Linked DNA regions of Macaca fascicularis. The protein of the gene in region 3 interacts with the protein of the main gene of each other region in a biochemical or structural test. Links are inferred from orthologs where the notes say so. Each region holds a gene or a part of one and is shown on either strand. Other genes may lie near its edges. The genes, in order: UBE2B, WAC, RNF20, UBE2A and H2BC21.

Region 1 (6,376 bases), on a different chromosome or scaffold from region 3:
GATTCTTGCTAATACACAGCTGTAAGACTTTATGATGCACATGCACTGAATTAGTTAAAAGTGTTAATTCATTTTGGAAAATTTAAACTGTTTCCGAAACAATTATAAATCCCTGTAGTCACGGAATTCCTAAACTCCATTGCCTCCAGTTCCCATCTTTAGGACTTTGTTGGTGCGTCAGGAGGACTCAGCACTTTTGTATCCATTCTTCAGCTCAACAAGGAAAGGGAGGTAGGAGAAGGACCTCAGCATTGCCCTAATCTTGCCCATAGTTCCATGGAACCAGAAAGGGTTAACTTTTCCCACTTTCCTTGTACCTCCCTTTTTTCAAACCCTGAATTCTGTCTCTGCTTTCAGTGACTGCCTAGACTGATAAATTATAAGGGTTTTTTGGTTGTTGCAGGGTTTGAGACAGGGTCTCAGTGGCATGATGATGGCTTACTGCAGCTCAAACGATTCTTCTGCCTCAGCCTCCTGAGTTGCTGGGGCTACTCGTGTGCACAGAGACAGGATCTCCTATGTTGCCCAGGCTGGTCTTCAACTCCTGGCCTCCCAAAGTGTTAGGATTACAGGCATGAGCTAATGCCCCAGCTCATGAGGGATATTTTTAAGATATAGTTTCTATTTACCATTTTTCTCCATGTAACCCTGCCTGTGTGTCTTCCTCCTTTGCTATTGGAAGGGTTAGGACTGCAATGGCAGAAAAGCAAAAACATTAAGAATATTCAGCTTTTAACTTAGAAAACACATTGTGAATGTCTAACAGGACCTATCAAGAGTTAGGCCTGGCTAACTTGATCACTAAGGCAGTCACTGGAAGCTGAGAGAATTCAGGGTTTGAAGAAAGAGGTACAAGGAAAGTCGGAAAAGTTAACTCTGCTTCCATAGAACTAGGGGCAAGGTTGAGGCAATGCTAAGGTCCTCATTCCACCCTCCCTTTACCTGTTGAACCGAACAATTCCCCAAATGGATACAAAAGTACTCAGAGTCCTTAGTATAACAAAGTCCTGAAAGTAGGAATTAGCAGCAATACAGGGAAAGACAGTAACTACAAAAAATATTCAAGGTCTGTGGGAGGTCAACACCTCTGAACCCCCTGGTGGTGGGGGGGCACTTCTCGCCCATTTGCACCTTTCTTGCTAGTGTAAAAAACCTGAAGTTGTCTCAGGCTGGATAGATAACCCTCACTCAGGTCTGCTGGAGCTCTCCCCCACATATGAATCATATTTGTAGGTTTCTTTGACAACCAACCACTCATTGATATGCTTGGAAGACTGCACCCCCACATTCTTAAAAATACAATGGTACTCCCCCCCATAGGCAAGTCCCCGGACTCTGACACATATCTTCAATTGAAAGCAGACCCAGAAAGGAAAAACTGCATAATACACCATCCTTTAATGTTTGCCCAGAATTTCCAATACTAGAAACCCCACTGCAAAGCAGAAAGACTATTTGGTAGCTTCAAGGAACCATTTCAGGAGATTGTTGTGTGGCCCTCAGTATTCAATGCTGCCTTAGAAGATCTTGCGATCCTCTCTCTTCTTGCCCCAAGTACCAGAGTTCATAAGCCACTGAACCAACCAGAGGGGAGTTATTTTTGGTCCCGGTTTAAAGAAAACAAAACAAGCTGTTGATCCTCCCACGACCTCTTGGGTAATGTCTCTATACCTGTGATAAACCGAAAACAACTAATAAAGGTGTATCCAGCCCTCACCCTCTTAGACCCGCTTCACAGACCTGGCCGAAACTCACATCCAGGCGAGGCTCTCACGTGACCCGTTCTAAACGCGTCACAGGGACACGTGGTTCTAGATACTTCTCCCCCTCCCCCTCAGGGGTGGATTGTTGACAAGGCCGCGGGCAGTCACGTGATCTTACATCATCCCACCTCCTTTCCCTGAAATCCCTGGCCCGGATACGTCCTTCTTTCTCCACCCCGCCGAGCCTAAACTAGAGACGGGGAGGCAGACAGGATAGTGTGTCGGTTTCGTGGTCTCTGAATCCACAACCTCTAGTCTGAACACAGAGAACACAAATTTGTCGATCACTTCAGGAAGCCCAGGAAGAACCACGCCCCGCTGAAGGGCTCAGGGAACGCGCGCTCCCCCGTCCCGCCCCCTCCTCCCCCAGCACTCACTCTGTGGTAGCGGCGGAGGGCGGAGGGATCCGGAGGCGGCGGAGGGAGACGTCATTGCAGGGTTGTTTGTCAGTCTTGGCGGCGGCGGCGGCGGCGGCGGCGGCAGCGGCGATCCACAGTGATTCGGCCGCCGCGCCGGGGGGTGGGGGGGCTGCGCGGGACTCTTTTCTTTCAGACTGACCGCGGGGCAGCTGCGGAGCATGTCGACCCCGGCCCGAAGGAGGCTTATGCGGGATTTCAAGCGGTAAGGGCCTTCAGCTTCGCATAGATGACGGCCTCTCAAAGCTGCGGGGCTGCAGGGCGTGGATCCCGGACACCTTCCCCTTGTGACCCTCAGAGGGCCGGCTGTGGGCCCAGGGGGACTGGCGGAAGCCGGGTCCTACCTCGGCCCCTACTCTCCTTATCCTTGCCGCTCGCTCTGGCGCCCGAAGAAATTTCGATACTGCTTCCCCTCCCCCCAAAAAGTAAAACGATGTCGATCGACTGGTCTAGGGTTCCCCGCTGCCCATTTCGGCCAGCTGCCCGGGGTCTCGTCCAGGGGATCAGACGGGGATCAGACATCATCCTCCCGCCCCTGCACCCTGCGGAGACCCTTTCTTGTCCCCTCAAAGTGAGCTCCCGCGGGAGCTTGTTCTTCTCCGGCAGCACCAGTCAGCTTTGTTTCACGGCCCCTCAGTCTTCTCCGAGGAGCCGGGTTGGGGTGAACCTCCCCAGCCCCCCACCCTCGCCAGTCCTTTCCATTTCTGCCGTGAGGGTGGGGTCCAGTGCGTGAGGCTCGGAGGTTAACCCATCCCCCGAAACCCGACTCTGTCCCCGCCCGCCTGAAAAGACCTTGGGAACTGACTTAGAGATCTGGGACCTTAGAGCTGGCCACCCCGGCTGCCAGTGCCTTCTGGAACTCAGATCTGGCTGGTGAAGAAAGCCCTATCTATAGCCTCCCGAGTCTGGAAAAATGCCTTCCCTTAGACTGGCGCTAATTTGATACTCCCTGGGCCTTCTTTGGTAAATAAAATAGGGTTTTGTTAGGAGGTATTGGGGTTGTGAGGAAGAAAATGATTATTCCGTTAGTTTACCTTTTATTGGATACTTAGAGACGTAGAAAAAACAAAATAACGTAGAAAAAACAAAATAAGTGAGAAAACATTTTGATATTCTGCACATTTTTCTTAAAATTTTTTCTGGGGACACCTACCCTAATTGAACAAAATAGCATAAAAACATAGATTTGTCGCTCAGGAAGTCACCTCTCAGCTATTATAAAGCCTATGTGAGGCATTTGGATTTGGCCAACTTATTTAATTCATTCGTAGCTTCTCTTAGCCATTTAAAGGTAGGCGTCAAGCAGTGCAGTTCCTCTAAGGCTTCTGTTTGTGGTGGCCTAATTTGCTTGAGATTGACTAAAAACCTTTTTTTTTATGTGGACTAGTTGCAAATTATGATGCCCCATGAAAACAACTCCATATGTATTTGTGAGTGTGTATAATGTAGCATTTTTAATTGAGGTTACAGTCTCTGAAAGGAGATGCCCTTTTTGGTGCAAAAGTCATTTTTCTAAAGCTTGAAATCAGTGTATCTGATTAGCACTCATGACTAAAATTCAGATAGTAAACTAGTTCATGTCATTGTCGCCCTGGCTCCTTACTGTAATGCTCTGCTTAATTCTGAGTTGAATACATGGCACCTTTTGTAGTTTTCCAGAGATCTATAGGTTACAAGAATTTGACTATGACGAATGTGGGAAAGCCTTGTATTGAGTCTCCTGATTTGAGAGGTAGATTTGATGTTAGTGCAGAGCCTTTAAAATAGGGACTGGCGGAAAACCTACTGATTACTTTTTAAAGCCATTGCTGTTTGAAGCAAAAGGGATAGAGTAAATCTGCTGCCTAATACTAGTTTCCTAGTTAAATTTAATGTGTTTTCAGTCATTTCGTGTTTACACTGAGGTTTGCTTTTTTTTTTTTTCTTGTAGCCATTTTGCAGAAGTAGCCGTGGTTAGGATACACAGTCTTTGCATGTTTAGAGCAGCAAAATCAATGGTTCTGTAAAAATATTACTTGCTTTTGAGGTTTTAAACTTTTTTTGGTATAAGAGGACAGTCTATATACATCAATTCTTGAAGAGATACTCTTGATAATATTGAAAGAGGGATGATTCTCAAGCCCTTCGGATTTTTAGGTAATTTGGAGAGGTATTTAATAAGTATATATACCTGGTTAATATATCTAAGTCATATGGTTCATTTTAGTTCACAATAACAAGGAAATGGAGTTAGTCTGTGTCTCAAAATAGATGGTGTAGTGTCTGTAGGTGTTTATGTGGCCTCCTTAGTGGCCTTAATGTTCAACTTTTTAAATTACAACGCTGGATTTCTAGGTTACAAGAGGACCCACCTGTGGGTGTCAGTGGTGCACCATCTGAAAACAACATCATGCAGTGGAATGCAGTTATATTTGGGTGAGTTGAAAGGTTTAACAAATAATAGGTGTGTGCTGAATCTTTAAGAAAAGTGAACATATAACAACTGTCTAGGAAAAGAAACTGAGGTAGAATGAGAGATCTTAAGGACTAAAACTGCAAGATAAATTAGAAAAAAATTTTTTTCAATTAGAGTTTTGGCCCAGCACAGTAGCTCAACGCCTGGGAGGATCGCTGGAGCCCAGGAGTTCATCACCAGCCTGGGCGATATAGTGAGACAGTGAGACTCTGTCCCCTCTCCACCAAAAAAAGAGTTTTGGCCCAGTCTGGGCAACATAGTGAGAGACCTTGTCTCTACAAAAAGTATAAAACTAACTGGGCATGGTGGTGCCCAGCTACTTGGAAGGCCGAGGCAGGAGGATCACTTGAGCCCAGAAGTTTGAGGCTGCAGCCAGCTATCCAAAAAAAAAAAAAAAAAGGGAAAAAGTTTCAGCAGTTATACAAAGTTTATTTGCTCTTTGATGTTATTACATATGGTTTTATAATCACTTGGGGTTTTACTTTTAAGATACTACTCAAAACTAAATGGAATGGAATAATAAAGGAGAAACAATAAATTACTTTGTATAAAACATATCATGCAAATGCTCTCATTCTGTTGGAGCTGTTAAAAGGTTTGGAACCAAAAATATTAAGAACTTCCACTGCTGCAAGAATTTAAGTGAAAATGATTCACAGCCCAGTGTAAAATAACAGAATGCAGCCATTTGAGAAGCAGCTGTAAATTTTACCTACTATATATATTGCATATATGCTTTTTAATTTAAAATTTCCTTATGCTTTTTTTTGTTTTTTCTAGACTTGATCTATTTTTTTCTTTCATTCCTTTGATACTAGAGTTTTGCATTAAAAAGTAAAAGGAATATGTTGATAAACAGAATTCTGACACTACAGAATCAGCTACAAGAGTCTACATTTAAAGACTAGTGGAAAATGAGTGAAGTTCATCCTCATAAAGTACTTCTGAATCTGAGTTGAATACATGGCACCTTCAGGATATTATCCTGCTGCTTTGAGATCCTGAATATGCCTTGCAAGTAATAATTAAGCTTTATGCTGCTGCTTAGGAAAGATGAAATTGGGATGTGGGGGCAAGGATCTGAGCAAACAAATCTGGCTCTTTGGTGACATCAACTATGCTTAGCCTATTTGAACAAAAGTTGTGGCTCCATTGGAAAGCAGGACACTTGGGTTTAGCATCATAACTAGAGTATTGCTTTACTTCTTATTGCTGTAAAATGAAAAGATGACTTTCCCTCTTAAGAATATACATATGGGCCAGGTGCAGTGGCTCATGCCTGTAATCCCAGCACTTTGGGAGGCTGCGACGGGTGGATCACCTGAGGTCAGGAGTTCAAAACCAGCCTGGCCAAGATGGTGAAACCCCATCTCTACTAAAAATACAAAAATTAGCTGGGCGTCTGTAATCCCACCTACTCGGGAGGTTGAGGCAGGAGAATTGCTTGAACCTAGGAGAAGGAGGTTGCAGTGAGCCAAGAATGTGCCATTGCACTCCAGCCTGGGGGACAAGAGCAAAATTCCATCTCAAAAAAAAAAAAAAAAAAAAGAATATACATATGTACAAAATGACTGGTCAGCATTAATGAAAGTTTTTAGGCCGGGCGCGGTGGCTCAAGCCTGTAATCCCAGCACTTTGGGAGGCCGAGACGGGCGGATCATGAGGTCAGGAGATCGAGACCATCCTGGCTAACCCGGTGAAACCCCGTCTCTACTAAAAAAGTACAAAAAACTAGCCGGGCG
Region 2 (5,636 bases), on a different chromosome or scaffold from region 3:
GGAGTTTTTGCTCTTGTTGCCCAGGCTGGAGTACAATGGCACAATCTTCGCTCACTGCAACCTCCGCCTCCCTGCAACCTCCGCCTCCTAGGTTCAAGCTATTCTCCTGCCCTAGCCTCCCTAGTGGCTGGGATTACAGGCACCTGCCACGATGCCCAGCTAATTTTTTGCATTTTTGATAGAGACAGCGTTTCACTATGTTGGGCAGGCTGCTCTCGAACTCCTCACCTTAGGTGATCCACCCGCCTCGGCCTCCCAAAGTGCTGGTTGTGAGCTAACCATGTCCAGCCAATACTCCCTTTTTTTTATCCATTTTTAGATTATTAGGGTGGATCTTGATGTAGGATTTGAATGGCCAGCTTGTCTAAAAAGGCAGTCATATGAAATAGCAATCGTTTATCCAGTTAATTTCATATAACATACTGAACACTCACAAATAGGTTTCTGACGTAATTGGAAGTTCCTATGAACACTCATTAAATTTTGTAGAGAGACTTTGTTCAGGTGATCATCTTAATTTATTAGTGTAAAAGAAATTCTGTTGGTTTACCTTTATTGTAAACCCATTAAGTTTCTTTGTCTGTGCCTCAGATTGTTTCAAATCTTGGGACCCATTGTATTACTCCTAGTAGGCTTTTATTTTGAGAGTTCTAGATTGAAATATTCCAGTTTCTTGTGGGTTCTCTTCCTTGTCAAGTTGTTACTAATGCCACATAAGCCTCTTGTTTTTATACGAATGTATGAAATAATGTGTTTTTAGTTCTTACAGCAGCTGTGACACAAGCCTCTCTGCAGTCTATAATTCATAAGTTTCTTACTGCTGGACCATCTGCTTTCAACATAACGTCTCTGATTTCTCAAGCTGCTCAGCTCTCTACACAAGGTATTCTTACTCATCTTAGATATCTCTACAGTGGTATCTTGATTTTGTTTTGGAATTAATAGCCCTTTTTGTATGTAGTTTTTTTCTTCTGTTTTTTTTTGTTTGTTTTTTAAGAGATTAGCTACAATTTTTTTTGGTAACACTGGCATATACAGTAGTATTTTTATTTCCTTTCTTTTTAGATGAAGCAAGTTTTGACATTTGTCTTAAGGTATTGCCATCAAATCTGTAATTATTTAATACAGCATTTAATTCAGACTTTGTTAATGAGTTTTTTTATGCCAAAGCTGAAAGTAAACTATGATATGCCATATATCTTTGTGAACATTGCATGTATTTGAAGAGTTGAAGTTTGGTTCAGATTGACGTTAGATGTTTTTTGACTGGATAATATGGAAATGCTCATTTTCTGCCTTGAATTAGATATCCCTCTTCATGAAGGTATCCAAATGGAGAGAGATACACGTAGGAGCAAATGGGAAGTGAAAGGGTCACTTTGTCAGAAAGCTGATAAACAGCAGGAATGCCTTGTCTGGAATGGAAGTATAATGGTGCAAAGACTCTTGCAACCCTCTGGCTAGCCTCATGAGCAGGAGACTGCGTGGGATACCTGGGCCTAAATGTAGAATAAGAAAGAAGAAATAAGGATGGTGAGGAGGCCTTCCATGTGAGAATAGGTTCAGGCCTAGCTTCCTGTTCCAGCCACATAAAGGAGAGTGGGCCACACTGGGTGTGCTTACCTCTGAACACACAGCTCACTTAGTCAGTGTGGCCCAGTGAGAAGGTCAGATTCTGATTTATTCCGATAAGTGTTCTCTGGGTAATATGGGGGTGGGGGGTTTAGAGTGATACAAAGATTGTTACCACATATATTACAAAGGACTTAGTTTTTTTGTTTTGTTTTGTTTTTCTTTAAAATTAATTGCTTCCCTCTTTTACAGCCCAGCCATCTAATCAGTCTCCAATGTCTTTAACGTCTGATGCGTCATCCCCAAGATCATATGTTTCTCCAAGAATAAGCACACCTCAAACTAACACAGTCCCTATCAAACCCTTGATCAGTACTCCTCCTGTTTCATCACAGCCAAAGGTATGTCACCTTTGAGGGATATTTGGGAAAGAAACTACTTTTGGAAAATCAATAACATTTTAGAATCTGTTACAGAAAAAGCTCTATGAGAATGAGGTGTAGTGGTGGAATGGATGACAGGTATGATAGTAGATGCAGCCTAGAATTTCTCAGTTCACTGAGGGATAGAGGGGGGCTTTGAATCTGTGCTGCTTTAATACACCTTCTGAGTCTGTTCCCTAATGGTTTTGGGATTTGTCACATGGAGAGTGAGATAAAGAGGGTATACTGTGAGTCTTAATATTTGTAGAATTTTCAGACTCCAAAAGACATGAGTGAACATGTTTTCCAGCAACTTTGCCATATTTGTATTTCAAAAATGAGGCAGTTTTTGTGCTAAGAACTTAATGTATGTTCAACTTTCACATCATGAGCATCACTTGCTTCATTTAATAGATAAGAAAATCAGACTCTCAGTTAAGTCTAGTTTTTGTGGTAGAGTCAGAATTTGAAACCTAGGTGTTTGTGAATACAGGGACCCATTTTACTAAGCTTATATTGCCTGTATTTGTCCCAGCAGAATCTCACATGGTTGGCTCCATAGGTGCAGTTAGAAAATTTCTGGGCTAAATGGTAAATATAGGGGGAATTTCTTTTGAGTAGTTTTGAAACAGTGGGCTGTTTCAAACTTTTTAATGCCAAACAATTATTTGTAAGATCTTAAGCAGCAGCCCAAAAATAAAAATGCATTGAAATACAACTTGAAAGAGGTGGTTGGTCAGCTTTTAAGTCTTCCCGTTTGTTCATCCCTTCCCTACCTTGGCCATTGATCAATGCATGTTTTAGGGCCAATTTAGATTGATTTTTAAAATTCCAAGTTACAGTTGTTAGTTTGTCATGCAGTTCCTTATCATTCACCAGTATTTTAAGGAGGAAAGAATTAAAATGTGAGTTTCAGCAAAAGATAGGTTATTTTTGGAGCTTAGAACTTTTCTTCAGGGTGATATTTTAAGAGTATAGTAAATAGTGGTTAAAAGTGAAATAAGTGGCAGTATTGGTTTTATAGTCACTTGTAAACTGAGCATTTCAACTCCTTTAAGCAGGCTGGGCGCAGTGGCGCACACCCATAATTACAGCACTTAGGAGGCCAGGGCAGGAGGATTCAGTTAGGCCCTGGGCAATACAGCAAGACCCCATCTCTACAAAAATAATTTGAAAATTTACTGGGGGAGGCCGAGGCAGGCAGATCACTTGAGGCCAGGAGTTTGAAAAAAGCCTGGCCAACAGGCAAAACCCAGTCTCTACTAAAATTACCAAAATTAGTGGCACAGACCTATAATCCCAGCTACTCAGGAGGCTGAGGCATGAGAATCACTTGACCTGGAAAGTGGAGGTGCAGTTGAGCCAAGATCACGCCACTGCACTCCAGCCTGGGCGAGAGAGCAAAACTCTGTCTTTAAAAAACAACAACAAAAAAAACTTATTTGGGCATGGCAATTTGTACTACTCAGGAGGCTGGGGTGGGGGAATCACCTGAGCCTGGGAATTCAAGGTTGGAGTGAGCCAAGATCACGTCACTCTGCACTCCAGACTAGGCAACCAGACTAAGACCCTGTCTCGAAGAAAAAAAAAAAAAGTCCTTTAAACAGATAGCTATCAGTTTTTTGTGTTCCGAAAACTTCTTCAAGTTGTTTTTAAAATAATTGAACATTTGAGCTTTTAGTGCTTACTAAAATGTTCTTTATAAGACTTGACTAGAATTGATAGGTAATATTCAGAAGTTAAGCAGGACGTTCCAGATTTGTTAGGGAGAATTATTAATCATATCCCCTCACCCCACCAAAAGAAAAACAGCAGTGAGGTGTGGCTTATCACAAAGGACTCCATCTGCCTTTGTGCCTCAATTTAGAGCTTATATTTTAAACTGCTTATTTTCTCTCTGTGGCTTCTGAATATAATATGTATCCTGATTGGCAATCATGGACTTCAGTCTACCTCTGTAGAGTAACATCTCTTTGAAAAACACTCATGATGAACTTTATATGGGCCATAACTCATTTTCTGATAGCCGAATCACATTGTTTCTCCATGTCATTAAAATCTAAGCATCCATATGTGTATGATGTGGTAGCATACATATTTACTTTTATTGATATAAAAGTAACAAATCAGAAGAGATAATAATGTATTGGAAAGAAAACTGAGTTGTAAAGGAGGAGAGCTAGTTTCTTACACTGGTTTGATAGGGAAGTAATTTTATGACCTTGGGCCATTTTTACAAAGAAATGAGATACCGAAGTTTTAGAACTTGACAGTCTTCTTTAAAACACCATATTTTACATGTTCTAAGACGATTACCTAGATTTTGGGGGGAGAGATGTGGATTAGATTTGGAGACCATCTCACCAGATTTTGACATTTCAGGTTAGTACTCCAGTAGTTAAGCAAGGACCAGTGTCACAGTCAGCCACACAGCAGCCTGTAACTGCTGACAAGCAGCAAGGTCATGAACCTGTCTCTCCTCGAAGTCTTCAGCGCTCAAGGTACGTCGATATTGTATATTGAGACCACATTGTTTTGTTTAATGATAGTATACTGGTATATTGCATTGTTTGAAGATGTATCTGTAAAATATAACAACTTTAAACTCCATGAATACTCTAAAGTAGGCTTATATGTTGTAAAATTTACAAAGACAAACCTGTATACAAGAGGTAGGTTATTGTCTCTAGTAGTAAAGCCCGGGTTATTTTGAAGAAAGTGGCTCTTTAAAATTTTACACAGTGGAATATGATGGGGTAAAGATTTGTGATACTTGTACCAGAAAGGCACATGATTTTACAATATTTGTTGGAATTACATTGCTTTGTAACCTCCTCATAGCAGTTTTGGTTTGAGTATATTGATGAAAGCCAAAGTCTCCTATCTAAAACTTGGGCCGATGTTTCCCGTGTATGTCAGGCTTTCCCAGTAGCTTAACTGTGACCCTATACAGATGACTTTTAGATAGTTCTATACTGCTGTATTGTGTTAGCACTTTTCTGTGTTCATTAACAACACAACTTTAAATGACATTTGTTGAATGAATGGTTTTCATTTGATTGATTTTCCTATTTTTTATTTCATGCTATGAGGTAGCAAAATAATTGAACTGTTGTTTTTATTGTTGTTTTCTAAACAAGCATTTCAGAACTTATACCTCCAAATGAGAGTTGTTCCCTTCAAACTAATCACCTTGGGAAGCTGTCTACTTACTCCAGCAATGTTGCCATTGCTCAGAACATTTTTGGGAAATTCTTCTTTTAAATTGTTTTTAGAGGCTGCAGTATTATTTTAAATATCCTCAGTGATGAAAACTCTTCATCCTTTGGGAGATTTAGTTTTTGGAAATAACTGAAATTCATTCAGAGCCAAGTCTGGTGAAGCAGGTAGGAGATCAACTTGGGTGATTAAATTTTTTGGTTCTCGCCACCATATCCCCAACCCTGGCCCAAACCATTCAGTTTTAAAAGAAGATAAACAATCTCAGAGTGTTATTTTTTTGGTTTTGTTTTGCCACTATGCTTGCTCAGTGCTATCCAACAAAATGTTTGTATTTTGCTTCACATTATTTCACCCTCTGATTCAGCAGTTCTGACGTTGAACAAAGGCAATATATATTTTCCCCTTACCTAGATGTATATG
Region 3 (6,178 bases):
CTCTCTTGTGACTGAGTGTATTTGCATAGACATGTCTGTGAAAATAAAAGCACCCATTTTACTAAGGCTTTCTGAGAAGACTTTTATTCTTCTCTGTCTTTCTTTTTCATGAATGGATTTTTCTGATGTAGCAAATAGTATGGGCTCCCTGCCCCACCACACAATTTTGTAGTCCCAAGAGGGCCATTCAGAAGTATTGGCTGCTGCCTGCACAAGCAACCGTGGCCACAGATCCCTGGATCACAGCAATGTCAGAGCATTTATCCATCTTTTTCTGGGTTAAAAAAATTGGTGGTCACCCCTGCCACCCAAATCATCTTACCCCTCACCAGTATACCCCTGGTACAATGTGGTGATCATTCCTTCACTCTTTCCTGCCTCTTGGTCTAAAAGTCTTAGAATAAGTTGCAGAGCTGCCATGTGTGGTATTCCTGTCTGTGCTCCATTGACAAACCCAAGAACATGCAGCAACACCTATAGCCTGAAAGAAAAAACCCAGCCTTCCCCTGAGAGAAACACACAGGGATCCCTCACACCCGTCCTCCCCCAACTCCCAACACACACTGAAAACAAAACCACTAGCAACAACAAAGTAAAAAACAGCTGTGTGTGATGATGGAAAGACCTCCTCTTAGCACGTGCCATTCCCTCTGCTTGGAATGCATGTAAAAAACATTGTATAGGGGCTAAAATTGTGCACTATAACCAATTCTCAGTCCCTAGACCCCATTCTTTGTTCCTCTTCTTCCTGATTTTCTTCCCTAGACCATTTCTTTGTGTCCAGTGTTCCTTTTGTTCATAGGCAGTTCCACTGTGAGTCTTATACTCTTTCTCATTCATTCATTGCTCACTATGTGTCATGTTCTATTCTAGGTGTTGGGGATATAGCAATGAACGAAACAGAAGATCCGTGACACTGAGGAGCTCATGTTCTATGGGGAAGGTGAAGGGGAAAAAAACTCAAAAGAATAAATAAGGGAATTTCAAGAGGTTTCAAGGAAATCTAACTAGGTAATGTGATAGCAGGACCTAGGGATAGGGAAGGGCATGGACTGCTTTAGATAGCATGGGAAATCTGTTGGGGGATATTAAAATTGAACTAAGACCTGAATTACATGGAAAAATTCAGCCAAAGGAAAAGCATTCCAGAGAGAGAGAGCACGGCAGTGCAAAGGCCTTGCAGAAAGAACCAGTGTTAAAAGTCCAAGGATGAAAGAAAGCCAGTGTAGCTAGAGCTTGAAGAAGGAGGATGGGAGTGGGAAGACATGAAGGTAAGTTTGCAGGGGCCAGATCATATCAGGCCTGGAAGGTGATATAGCTGTTTAAAGTTTATTCTAAATGCAATGAGAAACCAGCTCCTAGCAAGATAATAAATTGCTTTGCCAGAACATTAACTGTCCATTATTTAGTTCCTTTGCATTCTGCATAGGCTGGTCTTACAAAGGTTCTGTGACAGTAGGGCATCCATTAAAGATCTATTACATAAGGGAACGTGGGACATGCAAGAGCCGATGACAAATGTAGAAACCCTCTGCTTCACTTGGCATCTCTGTCCTTTTCCTCATCTTTCTGATATTTTAAAGCTACTGTGTTCCTACATACATATGCTATCTGTTCCTTCATTCTCTGATAAATTCATCATTTGCCTTTACATTTTCATCATTTTCACCCCCAAATGGTTAACGTAAGTGCTTTTTTTGAAATCATTATATTCTTTCATATTTCTGTGTCGGTCGCTAGGAGAAAGACCAGGAAAATCTGTTAAATTCTAAACCAAAAATTCCCATTCACTGCAGAGTGATGATTCGCAACACTGCTGCGATTCAGGCAATGGGGTGTCCTGAAGTGACAGCACATCACCACTGCAGTCCTAATAAATTAAGTCTTTTTGTTTTGTTTTGTTTTGTTTTTTGGTCTGCTAGCTCTATTAAATTTCCAATCATCTTTGACATAGTCCCAAAGATTTTCCAAATAGTATCCAACCTAGAAAACAGTTTCAGTTAATAAGCATTTTTCAGCAAATTCTATTATAGTTGGGATAAAAATATCCAGTGACTTAAAATTACCCAACTTTACGTCATGTGGTGCTGTAACTCAACAGTGCATCGTACAGTATATAAAAATCCCACAGTAATCAACTCCAATTAAAGTGCCTCTCCACCTAAATTAAATTACCAGTTAAATAAGTTCTCCCAAATGAGGAGTGTATCTAAGGTAGATTAGATTAGTTCTATCAAACTTGTATTCTTCATTTGCACTGTGATATTCTCACCATTTTTCTTCAAATAACAGGAATGCACAATGCAAATGTTTCCATTAAACAAACAACAAAATCAGTTAACAATTTTTAAGCAAACAGCTGTAATCTAATTCCCCGTTGTGGTTTTTTGTTTGTTTGTTTTGGTTTTTTACCTGCAAACATTGGCTGCCATTTAATTTTGGAAAAGAAATACACAGAATTTTCAGTTTTCCTATTAGGCATGTTATTCACAGATTTTGGGATTCAATGTTTCTAGCTTTACCCCAAACAGGGCAAAATTTCTGGTTAACCAGTTTTCAAGTCAACCAGTCTGTGTAGATTTATTTCCAGGAATGTGTTTGTGCAATGCCTCTAGTCCTTCTCAACCCTAACCTTCTCCAGCCCTAGTGTATCCAGAATCCATTTCCAACTGGAGTTCAGCAAAAGTTTGGCTTCCATGTAGCTCCCCCTCCAAATAAGTTTATAAAAGAGGAGGCAGGCTTTCATCTCCTTTCTGGATTGTACACATAGAATACATCTAAATTTTAAAAGCTATGTATGTAAAAAATGGTGTGTGTCTGTATCACATTCAAAATCTAGTTCATGTACTATTCTGCAAGGAAATACATCAAACAAATTAATCATGAGTAAACCTAAATTTAGCAGTTTATCCTTATCTTAATGAATACCTAAATCCTGTTTGCGATATTCACTCAAATGACTCAAGCTTTCTCCTTTTTAATCTCGTTGAACTTTTAGCTGAAATGCCGCAATCTGCAGAAACACATTTCCGTGTTTGAATCAGGAAAGGCTTGGAAGAGATTAGAATAACATTATATTTCATTTTACCAGTTAACACCACAGGAAGAACTATTTCAGCCAAACTAACCCCTTCTTGTCACACTTAAACGTTAACCTTAACCCCAACGTAGACACATACTAAAATTCAAAATTGCATCCCAGGAGGCCTTTAGGACAAATTAATTTTTGTTCTGTGAAAGGCACCTCGTGTCATGTTTCATATCAATTTACAGTTATTGAGTGCCTACTGAGTGACAGGTGCTGTGATCAGTGCTGGAGACTCAAAGGTGAGTGAATAAGACATGCCTTCTTCCTTTCAGAACCTTGGCCCCAGTGAGGGAGTTAGCAACGTGGGGTAAGTCCTGAGATGGCAGGATCACACGGTGCTGTCTATAAATTGCCCCAAAGCACTGAGACTCTAAGTCATCCCATCTCCCTTAACTTCTCTGCAACCTCTTTTCTGAGGATGACATGATCCAACAAAAAAGTCTCCTACCGACAAAGAGAATGTTTGACACAAACACTTATTTTCAGAAACGGTTGTCTCCCAAAGCACTTGGCTTGTCCAAAGATGACTTACCTTGTTGGCAGTCCCTTGCCACACCTGTCTCAAAAAACAATCAAGCTGAACCCAAAGAGTTTCATTGTCCACCCCTCCTTTCTGACAGAAGCTTGCTGATCTGCAAATGGAGAGAGAACTGGGAAGGTCACAACTTGTCCTTGCTCCCTCAAGGTAAGTGTCATCCCGTAAAGCTTGCCTGCTGCCTCATTGCCTTTCCCAAGTCTTGTGCCAAGTCAGTGCTTCTCATATCATAACTTCACTGTAGCTGGTTGTGAGTTGGATCCGGTCTCCTGGAGTTCCCCTCACAGAATGACTACAGCTCACCCATCACATGATGTAAGAGTGCCCTTCTTTGAACCCTGCAGAGTTTTTAACCAATGACCACATATTTCTTCCACCTGTTCTTGTCAGTGTTTCCATAGGGACCCAGAGACCTGAAAAGACACATTCTTACTTTTAAAAATTAATTGGTTTAGACAACCCACACTTGTATTGGCCAGAGTCCTCAGACTGGCTCTGAGGATAGCTGACTAAGCTGCTGCTCCAAAATGCTGGAATATGTCATCATTCACAACCATTGTTCATAACCATTTGACTACCCTAAACACCCTAAACCTTACCTTCAAGGATTCGCTCATCTGAATGAACTAAGCAGAATAAACCGAACAGTAAAAGTAGGGCTTGAAATCCAATTCTTAACTAATTAGAAAGCATGTATGAGCTAAGAGTTTCTTATCCCTTGCCAGGAGGGAGATGGAGAAATTTGATTTATATGTGAAAATTCTGCTTTTCAGCTTTCACTTGCCAAAGACAGGACAACTCAAATGAAAAGAAAAAATGGTGTTATCCATTTATTTTCCCAAAAGAGATGTTTGGAATGCTTTTTTACATTCTCTTCATACATGGGCAGAGTTTGTGCTGTAAATTTTGCAAGTTGACTTCAGTGCAAGAGATGGTCGCAGCATTAGGATGCGTTCACTGGCAAGTAACAGAATCTAGTCTCCCAGGGGCTTAAGCAATAATGACATTTAATTTTCTCACCTGGCAAGAGGTCTGGAGAAGGCAGTTGCAGCAGTGCAGTGATGTCATCTAGGACTCAGATTCTGGCTACTTTTCTGTTCTGCCATCTTTTGCCACATCAGCTTCTGCAGCTTCAAATATCATGTCCTCACAGAGCTGCATTCAATGAGAGTAGGAAGGGGCTGCGATAAAAAGCTTCCTCTTGTAAAGTCCTTTGGTGGTTGTTTTGTTTATTTTCCTCCTTCCAGGAAGAGCAATTTCAAGAAGTCTCCCAGCAGACCTCTCCTTTTGCTTCATAGGGCCAGAAATAGGCCACATGCCCACTCCTAGACCAATCACAGGCAAAGGAAAACAGGACAAGCCCAGTTGCAATTCATTCCCTTGGGGTTTGGATAGGGGCCCATCTTCTATGATCTCAGTGGCTCCCTACCCACCACCTAAACAAGATGGGACTTTTTTCTGGCCAGGAAGAAGAGGCACATGGATAGCTCTTTGGTAAAATGTGAACGGTAACTGCCCTGTTGCTGGGGGAAGTGATCAAGACTTTTAATATCCTTTCTGCTCATGCCATTTTATTTAGAAATTGAAGTAACATGGAAATTTATTTTAATATGGTCATACGGTTAAGTTAGGCACATCATTGAAAACATATTCTAGCTGCTACAAGATTAATTGAAGATATCAAAGCACTTTGAGAGGCATAGCTTCTTAGATTCCTGGTGGCCCATAAGATTGCATTTTCTTTCTCATATGATAGGACATCTGAACAATTGAACATGAAACATCATGGAAACAATAAGATCATTGTTGCTACTTTCAAGGAAGTACAGATAATCAAATTCAAATTGGACATGGGATTGACCAGATGGCAATGTAAGCTTGTGCTTATTTTCAACTATTGTGGAATTGTTTTGAATTGTTGATTTGGGGCCCATGAAGAGCCTTTTATTTTTTTGAAAATAAATTCACAATTTCAGAAAGTAGTCATATGGATTTTGAGGTGTAGTATAAATCATGCTGTAAATTTCTGAAGCTCTTTTTGTCATGCAAATATTAATACATCTGTGTCAGAAAGTATTTTCCTGTCTGTATTCAGTTTCAAGAAAAAAAAACTACGATAATGAAATTAAATTATGTTCTCCAAAAAAACACAGTATCCCAGAAAAGATATAGAGGAGTCTGACATGAATCCCAGGAGATCCTGAAATTCCTAGAGATTTGAGCAATGTATGACACTTTACTCTTCAAGAAAGGAGTAAGGATGAAGATAGGAACTAAAGTCATTCCTACCAACCAGAAACAGAATTGTGACCTCTCCCTAACAGATCCCACAGCTCAGTTAGCACCTAAAGACATCATGTGTCACCAGTCTTTGGATGTAAGCAGTCATGTTAAGATTAAATAATGCAATTTCCTTTGTTGATAACGCTCTTTCTCAAGCCCCAAAAGTCCTACTAAATATTTCTGGGAGTCTGCAAAAAGGTACCTTACATGTATGTACTCACAAAAAAGTCTTCTAGCTACAATCATCACAGAGCATCTACTTTATCTTTCCT
Region 4 (6,287 bases), on a different chromosome or scaffold from region 3:
ACTCCGTTTTTCAAGTAATATCCAAAACTCTTCATCATAGGATTTATTTATCTTTAAAATACTCTTAGTGGACTTTAGAGATTCATTTTGAAAACGATTTTATGACTCAGAAATATTTCCAAAAATTAAAAAAAATAAAAAAGATGTATACCCCAATTCTAAAGAACACATCTATTATGAAAAGCAAATACCAGTACCTTACCATGTCTATTAACAATTTTTAGATTATGTGATGAAGACTATATTCCATAACCTTTGTATTTAGCATGTATACCAAGATATTCTGATGAGGAAGCATTTCTCCCCAGTGTTTTGGTAGTGTAAGCTCTTAAGAATATATTCCTCTTATTGTGTGAAGTTAAACCAAAATACCCTTAAGTGTTGCTTTTCTTAAGATTTCATCACTCTAACTAGGATCTGACTGTTCCAGAAACTTCCATAACGAACAGTTTACAACGAAGAAGCAAAAGTAGTTTTGGGGTTCTTAATTAACATAATACATTGGAAACAGCAAAATCAACTATGCCACTTATCCCTAATCAGTCTTTTCTCTAACTGTAAAGTCCCCAACTGTAAATAAAGGGCATTCAAAAAATGGTTAAGGCCGGGCACAGCAGCTCATGCTCGTAATCCTAGCACTTTGCGAGGCCAAGGTGGGCGGATCACCTCAGGTCAGGAGTTCGAGACCAGCCTGGTCAACATAGTGAAACCTCCCTCTACTAAAAATACAAAAATTAGCTGGGCGTGGTGGCGGGTGCCTGTAATCCCAGCTACTCGGGAGGCTGAGGCAGGAGAATTGCTTGAACCTGGAAGGCAGAGGTTGCAGTGAGCTGAGCTCATGCCATTGCACTCCAGCCTGGGTGACAAGAGCAAAACTCCATCTCAAAACCACAGTGTTCCAGATACCTGAGGAAGCATCCATGGGTAGCAGACTGTTCAACAGAACAAATCAGCCTGAGTAATTCCTTTCAGTAATGCTAGGATGGAGATACACATCATCAAAAATAGTACCAGTAATGTCAAAGGTGACAGTCCTGGTAGATAATGGACTCCATAAGTACCTTTTCAATTCATACCACTTAAGAGAAGCACCCTTGAAATATTTAGGTAGCCAATCCCCAGCAAAGCGATGTACTATTAATAAAGCTGTGCCCAGCATAAAACAGAGTAAAACGAGGAAAAAAGAAGCCAATGAAAACAAAGCCTACTAGAGCTAAAGCAAATACACAGTTAATCTGTACATTTAAATCTCAGGTATAAAGAACTAGTGCTGGCTGAGTACGGTGGCTCAAGCCTGTAGTCCCAGCACTTTGGGAGGCCAAGGCGGGTGGATCCTAAGGTCAGGAGTTTGAGACCAGCCTGGCCAACATGGTGAAACCCCATCTCTACTAAAGATACAAAAAATTAGCCGGGCGTGGTGTCGTGCACCTGTAATCCCAGCTACTCAGGAGGCTGAGGCAGGAGAATCACTTGAACCCAGGAGGTGGAGGTTGCAGTGAGCTGAGATCGCGCCATCGCACTCCAGCCTGGGTGACAGGGCACGACTCCGTCTCAAAAATAAATAAATAAATAAATAAATAAATAAATAACTAGTGCCAATCTGGTAGAGGAAAATTTAAGTCTAGCTATAGTTTCTTGCTACAAATCAGCTCAAATGATTAACTGCACCAAAGTAGTATGCCCTTACAATCACTGTCTCCTGCTGTCATTTCTTTTCATTGCAGCCCTGAAGAACAATGATATTTACCCAGGGGGTAAAGGTAGAGAGGAAGCTAAAAATATTCAGGTGACTGTCCACAGTTTCCTGGAGAAATCTAACTACTTGAGATGAATTATAGACTTAGTTGATATTGACTTACCTCACAACATTTTGCGGACTGGTAGCATCAAAAAGCAATCCGGCTCAGCAACATAAGTATGTATTAAGTAGTTTGCAGAAATGTTTTTGTTCCCACCTTCAAACTGAAGTGTGTGTGTGTGTATAAATGCTATGTGACCGAATGAAGATAAATCATTGAGGAAAAAAAATAACAGAAACATCCTTTTCCTTTTTTTAAAAACCTCAAATATTAAAGAATTTCATAAGTTCAAATACTTTAATCATCCTTTAAATGTATTAAACTTTCAAAAAACAACAACACACACACACCACACACACAACTGAGTGCAGAACTATCAATGTCATTTTTCTGGTTGTGATAGGGTCTAGTCATTCAAGATGTTACCAAACGGGAGGGTTTGGGGAGAGGACTGGGTTAAGGGTATAAAGGGTGTCTCTCTTAATTTCTTGCAACTGCATATGAATCTATAATTATCTAAAATCATAAAGTTTTAAAAAAGCAATTTACACATGTGTTTTTAAAAGTTAAACCTAAATCACTTAAAAATTATGTACCTACTGGTACATGTAGTACTTTCAAGTAGGCGGGACACTGATCAAAAGGGTACAGTGAGGCTAACTTCAATTGTGAAGCTGCTTTGAAATTACTGATCATAACGTCTTGATGAAAGCACACACTGTAAATTCACTTAAAAATAAGAAACAATACTGTACTCAAATGAGGCATTTAAGACCATCTTAGAGAAGTGAGGCTGACAGGCATTCAATGTCAGATTGTAGAAACCAGACAGTTGAATGGAAGGGACGCTTGCATCCACTCAACATCCAACACACATCTACCAAGCACCTGCTGACCACAATTCCTGCCCTTGGGGTAGAATTCTGAACCAGATGGTCTCTGGTGTTTCTGCTGACTATCAGCAACTGGTTGGGTTTATACTAATTCAGTGATGGAGGGCTGAATTTAGCAGAATCACAGCCCAAGCCTCAAAAATCCTTAATATCAGTGCTATGATTGCTCCTTTTAAAAAGTGACTGCCTTCCCCAGATTTTTTTTTAAGAAAACAAGAAGAAAGGTGCAGTTCTAGTCAAGCATACAATATCCAGAACGACCAGCTACACACTGCATTCCACTCAAGCCTTTAGCAGACAGAGACTAGGCACAGCCAGGTTCCTAAGCAGGAGACACTTCCAGGATGAGTGGGAACCCATTCCCCAGATGATCAGGCTCCTGAAAAGTGGGTAAAGAAACTCTCTCTTACCATCCTCAAACGGGGTCCCTTCAGGCCTGCAACACAGAGAAAAATGGTCAGTTCCCACTTAAGGGGCCCCCTTCTCCCTGCTTCATCTGAGATGGCTATCCCGAGCTCTGCCACCTCCCGCACCGCTGCCGGAGTCGAAAGCCACTACAAATAGATGTCCCGGGCTCAGAGACACAGGGCAGGCCGCCGCGCCTAACCGCCACCACTCCCCGCCCCGCCCCCCTAGAACCCCAAGCGGTTCCCCCTGGCAGCGGGAACTGAGCTAATCGAGGCACAGGCTCCGGGGAGGCGCCTAGGCCCAGCCAGACCCAAACATTTTCCCCTACCCCCTCGGCCTCCACGGGGGGCCCGCCTTGGAGCGCAGACCGAGAGGGCTCGCGTACCCGGTTCTCTCGCCACCGCCACGAACGCAGACTCACCCGAAAATGACCGCGTTCCACACCATTATGTTGTTCTCGGACGGAGCCCCGCTGACTCCGGCTGGAGGATCCTCCTGCAACCTTCGGGAAGACAGACAGGGGTCCCCCTAGGCCGGCACTGGCGCCCGCTCCCGGCCGCTCCCCAGCCCTCCCCGCCCGGCGCGCCTCGGGACCCGCCCTGTGCCCCGGCTCGCAACCCCCGGCCTCGGCCGTCCCCTCGGTTTACCTCTTGAAGTCCCGCATGAGGCGCCGCCGAGCCGGAGTGGACATGTCGCGAGCGGGGTCAGGGGTGGGGCATACACTGGGGTCTCGGGTTCCCGCGGCGGGCGACGAGGCCGAGGACGCTGGAGAAGCCGGAGAAGGGGAGGCGGAAGCACCCAGAGGCACCGCGCTGCCTCTCCGAAGTCGAGGGTCGGTCTGGCGCCGGCTAAGCACCACCCCAGTGTAGACGGGGGCTGAACCAACCTGAGAGCAGAGAGAGGGGGGTGGAACGTCGAGCGCCGGACAGGCCGTACCAAGACGGGGCGGGGGGTGCGCGAGGAAAGTTGCTTATGTCATTAAAGCCCCGCAGGAGGCCGGGGGCGGGGCCGCGAGCTCAGAGGCGTGGGGTACGCTGGAGCCCGGGGCGCTGGAGGACCTCGTGGTGGAACGGGGTCCATCCCCACCTGCTAATTCTAAGGCAAACCCTGGGAAGTTTTCGGCTTTTTTTCTTTTTCTCTTTTTTTCTTCCTTTTTTTCTTTTTCTCTTCTTTTTTGTTTTGTGACCAGATCATTCATGAGAGCGCGCACTATGCCCGGGGAGGAGGGGGGAGAAGTTTGGAAGTCCCAAACTAGAGGACGAAGGAGTGGGCGGAGGTAAAACCGGTTCTCAAAAAGCGGCAACTCTAGGGTGCCCAATCCCTGCGGACACCGGAGATTGGGGTCGGAGGGGTGCGGAGCAGAGTGATTGGTTAAAATCACGAAAAATCAAAAGAATAAATTGGCCTTGACTATGACCGGCGGGCGGGGCGGGGCTGTGGGATTGAATGCAGGATTGGGCGCTCAACGTTTAGGCCAATGATCACCCCTGGGCAGAATGAAATGGTGTTGTATGTCCTGTGGGAGGGAATGGGAGCTTAAGGCAGGCAGAGTAGGGTTTTGTTTTGTTTTGTTTTGCTTTGGGCACTCACAATTTGGCTCTGGAACCACATTTTCCCTTGGTAGTTCAACAAGCCGAGCGGCTATTATATGTTCAGAAGAGTCCACAGTATGAGACTATCCGACTGCAGGGAGTTGCAAGGACAGTGGGTCTGAAGTAAAAGGAACGTGGAAAAGCTGCAGGTTGCGGGAAGAGTCACAGTCCGTGGACCTGCAAAAGCAGTAACAGTTTTAAAGGATAATTTTTAAAGGTCAACCCAAAATAACTTAGAAGATAGGCATAATACACATTTAAAAATTATTGAAAATAGGAGAAAGGTAGGTTTGGGTTAAGTCATCAAGAGTTTTGAATGCCAAGCTAATGGATTCCTTGGAAGTCCATTAAGCAGGGAAGTGACATCATTAGAGCTGTGCTTATCAGAGATTGGTCTCAAGAGAGCAGGCAGGAGACTCTTGCAGTATCTAGGTGTGAGATACTGAACCAGGCAGTGACAGTAAAGGCAAGTAGGATATGAATGAATGGGGAGGACTTGGCAACAGGTTGAATATGGAGGCAAGAGAGAGGAAGGAGTCAACAGAGGCTGAAACTCTAAGCCCCAAGATAACTGGGGATTTGAAGGTGCCATTAACAGAATTACAGAATAGAGAGAGAGGGACAAGTTTGGGAGAGGAAATTTTGGGTGGGACTTACTGAGTTCATGGGACTGGTGAGACATCCCCGTGAAGATGTCCAGAAGATATCAGATGTGCAGGAATTTGTTTCTAACATGAGAAGCAGGAGGCACTTGACAATGGTAGTAATTCTAGCTGCTGTTTAATAACAGGTACTTTCATGGTCAAGGATTTCTATCTCCCATTAACTCCAATATATCAGTTAAGGCAAGTCTCCCTAATAGCATCACATTATGGCTGTAGTAGGAAGGGGGTACAAAAATTTTTTAAAAAACTTTTTTTCCTCTCATCTAGGAACTTGCAGTCTACTAACACACACATACACACATATGAAATCAACAAAAGCAAGATCTACAAAAGCAAGCATATTCGTTTTCATCACTGCTTAACAAATTATAAGTTGCTGGCCAAGCCCGGTTCATTGCAGTTGTAGGACTTTGGTCCCTATTTCCTTACCAGCTGCCACCTGGGAACTACTCTCAGCTCCTAGAGGCCACCTGCATTCCTTGCCACGTGGCTTACTCCATCTTCAAAGTCATCAACAGAGAATTTCTCTCCTACCACATCCCTCTCACTCTTTGAATCTTGTTTTCAGGAAGAGCACAGTCTACTTTAAAGGCTTACCAGATTATGTCATACCCATCCTGTGGATGATCTCCCTATCTTAAAAACATCTAATTTGGGACCTTTATTGCATCTGCTAAATTTTGCCACTGCAGAACCTAGATTACTATTTCATTTAATAACTGGGAGAAAGTGTGCGTATATACCAAGGACCAAGAATCTTAGGGGAGGGCAGCATCTTAGAAGTCTGCCTATAACAGCAACAGCAGAACCAGAACGGTTTCAGATTTCCAGTTTTTTGTTTGTTTGTTTGTTTTGTTTTTTCAGATTTTGGAATTCTTTGCATTATAAAAGTTTCAGGTTTTGAAGCATTTGGGATTTTGGATTTTCAGA
Region 5 (5,835 bases), on a different chromosome or scaffold from region 3:
TAGACCCTGTGTAAGTTGTATCTGTTAATTTCCTTCATTGAGAAATATATACTGTAGATAAAAGAATCCAGCAAAGCCTTTAATTGGTAACTTTATTAATAACAATAGCATCTACACACATTTGAAAACACACATGTAGGAGACAGTTAAGATTTATTCAGTCTGGCCGGGCGCGGTGGCTCAAGCCTGTAATCCCAGCACTTTGGGAGGCCGAGGCGGGCGGATCACAAGGTCAGGAGATCGAGACCACAGTGAAAAAAAACCCCGTCTCTACTAAAAATACAAAAAATTAGCCGGGCGCGGTGGCGGGCGCCTGTAGTCCCAGCTACTCAGGAGGCTGAGGCAGGAGAATGGCGTGAACCCAGGAGGCGGAGCTTGCAGTGAGCCGAGATCGCGCCACTGCACTCCAGCCTGGGCAACAGCGTGAGACTCCGTCTCAAAAAAAAAAAAAAAAAAAAAAAAAAAAGATTTATTCAGTCTGTGATAATGTCTAGAGCTCATTTGGATTCATCAGACCCCTGCTATCAACTCCAAAACCCTTAGCCAAAAACAGAGTTGAATCACTCATCAAACCATCAGTGTCTTCCTCGGCAGAATCAAGGGTTGGACAGAAAGAGTAAATATTCTGTACCTCCACAAAATAAAACTAAAATGCAATTGTCCTGCATCTGAGAATACAAGGGTGGACAGTATGAGCTGCATGACTGTGAACCAATGAGGCTTCCCTTGGCCTCATTTGTAAAAAGGAGATTAACCCTGTAGTCCTGCCTATCTTGCATGGCCTCCTGGAAAGCAAATGAGGTGATGATGGCCGGGCGCGGTGGCTCAAGCCTGTAATCCCAGCACTTTGGGAGGCCGAGGCGGGCGGATCACAAGGTCAGGAGATCGAGACCACAGTGAAAAAAAACCCCGTCTCTACTAAAAATACAAAAAATTAGCCGGGCGCGGTGGCGGGCGCCTGTAGTCCCAGCTACTCAGGAGGCTGAGGCAGGAGAATGGCGGGAACCCGGGAGGCGGAGCTTGCAGTGAGCCGAGATCGCGCCACTGCACTCCAGCCTGGGCAACAGCGTGAGACTCCGTCTCAAAAAAAAAAAAAAAAAAAAAAAAAAAAAAAAAAAAAAAAAAAAATGAGGTGATGACTGTCAATTAAAAGCTCCTCTCCTTTAAGAGGGGAACACCAAGAGGGGAGAGTAAGAAAAGAAGGAAAAGGCTCTTTCCAGTGACCAATACGCTGAATTTGATGAAAATCCAAAAGAGGTTATGCTAAACTGGGAAGCGTAAGGGTGGATCTACCATTGCCACCTCCTCTTTGATGCAAAAAAAATCTTAACACGGCCCCCTCCCAGCTGTTGCACTGAGGTGACTAAGGACACATTTGAGGAAGTAGCTCCAAAAACATTTCCATTTTCACCGTGCCTTCACATACATCTAACGGAAATGAACAGCACCCATCATCCATCCACGAAAGCGATTAAGAAAACGATGGGATGGAAAAACTAACCCAACAATATTACATCAATACGTAGTATTTAGGTAAGTGTCCATAATGTGCCAGGCTGAAGATGCACGGGAAAACCACACCAGCCGGTCAAGGGCTTGAGAATACCATAAACAAGAAAACAGACGAACCAATTTCAGACAGCTGCTAGAAGGAAGATAAAATGAGACAGGCAAGTATGAGCGGCGCGAATTCCTTAGTGGATGACGTAGATCTCTGACAGGTGACTTTTGAGCCCGTATCTACACGGTAAGTGCCTCGCAGTGACCTGGGGCCGCAGCCTTACCCTTTAAAGCAGAGACCATTAAATGCAAAAATTATCAACAAAACGAGAAATAGGAATTTCAAAGTCTCAAAGTGAACGACGGAAACTGAAATCTACAAATTAGAAAGAGGCGCAGAATTTTGAATATTCATGTCGCCCAATCAGGAAAAGGCTGGGACCCGGCTGCGCGGGCTTCGTCCAAAATACACAGAACGGCTGGTATCCACAGGAGACCCCATCGCACAGCAGAACTGGTGACCGGACACAAAAGGTGCTGCCAAGCGTCAGTCATACACAGCTGTCACGCAGTGTTTGCGGAACCTGGGCTGAATCGTGCCCTGGAGTTCTCTTAAATAACAGCCGAACTCAGCCACTTCGTTTTAGAATGAAACAGACCCAAGAAGCCACCAGGGCGCCAGTGTGGGGCGGGAGTGGGGGCGGGTAAAGAGGCGGATTCCCAACATCCTAATTGAGAACCGACTCCTGGGAATGCTAAGCAGCACAATGAGTGAAGACACGCTCTAGATTCAAAAGCAAATCCAATCATGCACCGGGGACCTCAAGTTCCAAATGGTTAAAAACCTACGTGTGGCATTTCCCATGACCTTTACGCTAAAATTACTTTATGAGAAGAAACTAAGGGAGTAAGTGAACAAGCTCTTTTCTAGTGATTAGGTGGGTGGCTCTGAAAAGAGCCTTTGGAGTCAAGCAGCCGGCGACTCGAGCGAGCGAGCGCCAGGTCCCGGCAGGGACTCACTTGGAGCTGGTGTACTTGGTGACTGCCTTGGTGCCCTCGGACACGGCGTGCTTGGCCAGCTCGCCGGGCAGCAGCAGGCGCACGGCCGTCTGGATCTCGCGGGACGTGATGGTGGAGCGCTTGTTGTAGTGCGCCAGGCGGGACGCCTCTCCCGCGATGCGCTCGAAAATGTCGTTGACGAAGGAGTTCATGATGCCCATGGCCTTGGACGAGATGCCGGTGTCGGGGTGGACCTGCTTCAGCACCTTGTACACGTAGATGGAGTAGCTCTCCTTGCGGCTGCGCTTGCGCTTCTTGCCGTCTTTCTTCTGGGCTTTGGTGACGGCTTTCTTGGAGCCCTTTTTAGGAGCCGGAGCGGATTTTGCCGGTTCAGGCATGGTAAGACACAGTACAAACGCGGCTTAGCCAAGAAAAGAAGTAAGAGAATGGGCGGGCCTGATTCTTTTATAACCACCTTATGCAAATTAGGGCTCCGAAAGTCATTCATTTCCATTGGTCCGTGTGCGGACCTTGCGTTTTCAGCAATGCGTACGCAACAACACCGACTCTTGACTTGATTGGCCGGTTCTGAAGCCATATTAGGACCAATGAAAAACTCGTTCTAGACCCCACCCCTAGGAAAGCTTATAAAGGCTTTCCTCTTGGTTCTCTTTCAAGCTTATTTTGTAGCGAGGTTCTGAGCATTGTCTGTGTTTAACCTTGGTTTCAGTCATGTCTGGTCGTGGCAAACAAGGAGGCAAGGCTCGCGCCAAGGCCAAGTCGCGCTCGTCCCGCGCTGGCCTCCAGTTCCCGGTAGGGCGAGTGCACCGCTTGCTGCGCAAAGGCAACTACGCGGAGCGGGTGGGGGCTGGCGCGCCAGTCTACATGGCGGCGGTCCTCGAGTACCTGACCGCCGAGATCCTGGAGCTGGCGGGCAACGCGGCTCGGGACAACAAGAAGACGCGCATCATCCCTCGTCACCTCCAGCTGGCCATCCGCAACGACGAGGAACTGAACAAGCTGCTGGGCAAAGTCACCATCGCCCAGGGCGGCGTTTTGCCTAACATCCAGGCCGTTCTGTTACCAAAGAAAACTGAAAGCCACAAAGCCAAAAGCAAATAAATGCAGACAAACAAACCAAAGACCAAAGGCTCTTTTTAGAGCCACCCAAGTTTTCAAAAAAAGAGCTAATGCGCTATTTCGTGATCAGCCCTTCATTTGACACTTTGGTGGCTCTTAAAAGAGCCTTTGGGGTGAATGAGTATGGTGTCAAGCCTCTTAATTACTTGTTCTTGCCAGGCTTGTGACTCTCCGTTTTCTTGGGCAACAGGACAGCCTGGATATTGGGTAAGACGCCGCCCTGGGCAATGGTGACACCCCCGAGTAACTTGTTGAGCTCTTCGTCATTCCTCACGGCTAGTTGCAGATGGCGAGGGATGATGCGCGTCTTCTTGTTGTCCCGAGCCGCGTTGCCTGCTAGCTCCAGAATTTCCGCGGTCAGGTACTCGAGGACCGCCGCCAGGTACACCGGGGCGCCTGCCCCCACCCGTTCCGCGTAGTTGCCCTTGCGCAGCAAGCGGTGCACTCGCCCCACCGGGAACTGGAGGCCAGCGCGGGACGAGCGCGACTTGGCCTTAGCGCGGGCCTTGCCTCCCTGCTTTCCGCGTCCTGACATTACGGCTAAAATTGCAGTTACAGCTTCTTTTACAAGGAGAAGAATGTGGAAAGAATAACCAATTTGATGTAATTTATAAGAGCTACCGGGAGGGGTGAAGGGAAGTCGTTTGATTGGCTAAAAGCGGAGCCGTATCCAACAGCCAATAGAAAAACAGAAAGCCGCCTCTTGGTTTGCATCCTGCCCTGAAAGGAAATGACGGATTTCGTAAGTATCTACCAATCGCTGAGAGCCACATTAAAGCCCCTTATTTGCATGGCAGGATCTTTAAAGAAAGTAGGCTTTCAAACAAAATGTCTTGTACTATGGGGTTTTGCTTTGCTTTGTTTAGTTTACAGCCGGTAAATCCCAACATGGACCCTAAGAAACTGCAGAAGACATCCGTAGACTGAGAGTTACTCTCACGCAAGAGTAGGGGATTCTGAAGCCAATTATCCCCTTGAGCTCTAAACTACTAAGTTCCGCCCTTTCTGTCTCGTCACAGCCAAATTCCCTTTAAAAATACAAGTACTACTAAGGCTGCCTCCTTTCTCGCCCCTCAACTTAAGTCGCCCGCAGCGACTCCGCCCCACCCCCACCCGCCTGCACTCCTTGGAATTCAGTTTGACCAAGGCTAGATCTGTCATCTTCTTGACCTCCAGGAGGCGGCCTTGAAGCTTACTCCCTTGGCTTTCAAAATGTCGCCCTGCGTTTTTCTTCTTAGCTCGCCGACTTTTCTTATCCTGCTTCCCCATGCCATCTCTAAATCTGCGAGTCCAGCTGGATTCTGCTTCTCTATCTCCAATTCTTCACTTATCCCGAAGAGTCTTACCCATTTATATGCTTTCAACTAACATCCAAATTTGTTTCAGAAGCTCAGACCCTTGTGCCTAACTGCTTACTGAATACTTCAATCTACTACTTGTCCCAACGAGCACCTCAAACTCAAACTCAACCTCAGCCTATTCGAACGCGAACTCCTGCAAACAACCTCCCCTCTTTGCCCTCTTCCTGAAATGCGCCAGCATACTTACAGATAACTAAGCCGAAATCTACTCTACTCTTCCCTTCGTCTCAGCATGTCCAGTCAGTTGCTTCCTTAATATCCCTTCAATCTTTTTCTCCACGCTCCCTTGTCCACCTCATCATCATCCCTTAGATTTCAGCAACAGCCGGGAAAGGGTAACTTTGCTGTCAGGCATTAATTGCTGGTGTGACTCCAGCGGCCTTAGAAATCTTTCCTGAAAGCTCTTCTTTTTTTCTTTTATCCCATATAACAGATGAATCTGAAAGCTCTTGTGTTTCTTCCTCCTCAACGTCCCATCTCTGGGAGTTCTACATCTCCTACACCATTCTCACCCTTTCCTTAGTATCCCTTAAGGTCAGGTAGAATAATAGAGAGAAAAAATAGACTTGTGGTTTTTTTGGTTTTTTGAGGCGGAGTTTCGCTCTGTCGCCCAGGCTGGAGCACTTCTCAGCTCACTGCCACCTCCACCACCACCTCCTCTACCCCGCCCCCACCCACCCGGGTTCAAGCGATCCTCCCACCTCAGCCTCCCAAGTAGCTGGGATGACAGACGCCCACCACCATGCCCGGCTAATTTTTGTATTTTTAGTAGAGATGGGGTTTCATCTCTACTAATGTTGACCAGGCTAATCTCGAACTCCTGATCTCAAATCTC

What was found.
Region 1: the proteins of RNF20 (region 3) and UBE2B form a complex in vitro, tested with the Homo sapiens proteins (4 studies listed by BioGRID, with this or other methods). The link is inferred for Macaca fascicularis from reciprocal best matches to the Homo sapiens genes RNF20 and UBE2B.
Region 2: the proteins of RNF20 (region 3) and WAC form a complex in vitro, tested with the Homo sapiens proteins (2 studies listed by BioGRID). The link is inferred for Macaca fascicularis from reciprocal best matches to the Homo sapiens genes RNF20 and WAC.
Region 4: the proteins of RNF20 (region 3) and UBE2A form a complex in vitro, tested with the Homo sapiens proteins (4 studies listed by BioGRID, with this or other methods). The link is inferred for Macaca fascicularis from reciprocal best matches to the Homo sapiens genes RNF20 and UBE2A.
Region 5: of the proteins of RNF20 (region 3) and H2BC21, one has a biochemical effect on the other in vitro, tested with the Homo sapiens proteins (3 studies listed by BioGRID). The link is inferred for Macaca fascicularis from reciprocal best matches to the Homo sapiens genes RNF20 and H2BC21.

The regions. Positions count from the first base shown.
Region 1 is NC_088380.1:140,909,786-140,916,161, forward strand, and holds the start of UBE2B (ubiquitin-conjugating enzyme E2 B), read left to right. Parts: upstream 1-2,211; 5' UTR 2,212-2,340; coding exon 2,341-2,384; intron 2,385-4,513; coding exon 4,514-4,594; intron 4,595-6,376. UniProt on the Homo sapiens protein: E2 ubiquitin-conjugating enzyme that accepts ubiquitin from the ubiquitin-activating enzyme E1 and transfers it to a E3 ubiquitin-protein ligase. In vitro catalyzes 'Lys-11'-, as well as 'Lys-48'- and 'Lys-63'-linked polyubiquitination.
Region 2 is NC_088383.1:29,308,533-29,314,168, forward strand, and holds part of WAC (WW domain-containing adapter protein with coiled-coil), read left to right. Parts: intron 1-760; coding exon 761-883; intron 884-1,306; exon of another isoform or gene 1,307-1,667; intron 1,668-1,824; coding exon 1,825-1,973; intron 1,974-4,376; coding exon 4,377-4,495; intron 4,496-5,134; coding exon of another isoform or gene 5,135-5,258; exon of another isoform or gene 5,259-5,375; intron 5,376-5,636.
Region 3 is NC_088389.1:56,634,519-56,640,696, forward strand, and holds the start of RNF20 (E3 ubiquitin-protein ligase BRE1A), read right to left. Parts: upstream 3,914-6,178; 5' UTR 3,621-3,913; intron 66-3,620; exon of another isoform or gene 1-65. UniProt on the Homo sapiens protein: Component of the RNF20/40 E3 ubiquitin-protein ligase complex that mediates monoubiquitination of 'Lys-120' of histone H2B (H2BK120ub1).
Region 4 is NC_088395.1:125,911,872-125,918,158, reverse strand, and holds the start of UBE2A (ubiquitin-conjugating enzyme E2 A), read right to left. Parts: upstream 3,941-6,287; 5' UTR 3,792-3,940; coding exon 3,748-3,791; intron 3,603-3,747; coding exon 3,522-3,602; intron 3,129-3,521; coding exon 3,103-3,128; intron 1-3,102. UniProt on the Homo sapiens protein: E2 ubiquitin-conjugating enzyme that accepts ubiquitin from the ubiquitin-activating enzyme E1 and transfers it to a E3 ubiquitin-protein ligase. In vitro catalyzes 'Lys-11', as well as 'Lys-48'-linked polyubiquitination.
Region 5 is NC_088375.1:111,387,553-111,393,387, reverse strand, and holds H2BC21 (histone H2B type 2-E), read right to left. Parts: upstream 2,940-5,835; 5' UTR 2,898-2,939; coding exon 2,517-2,897; 3' UTR 1,237-2,516; downstream 1-1,236. Other genes in the region: H2AC20 (histone H2A type 2-C), read left to right, coding at 3,232-3,621; H2AC21 (histone H2A type 2-B), read right to left, coding at 3,782-4,174. UniProt on the Homo sapiens protein: Core component of nucleosome. Nucleosomes wrap and compact DNA into chromatin, limiting DNA accessibility to the cellular machineries which require DNA as a template.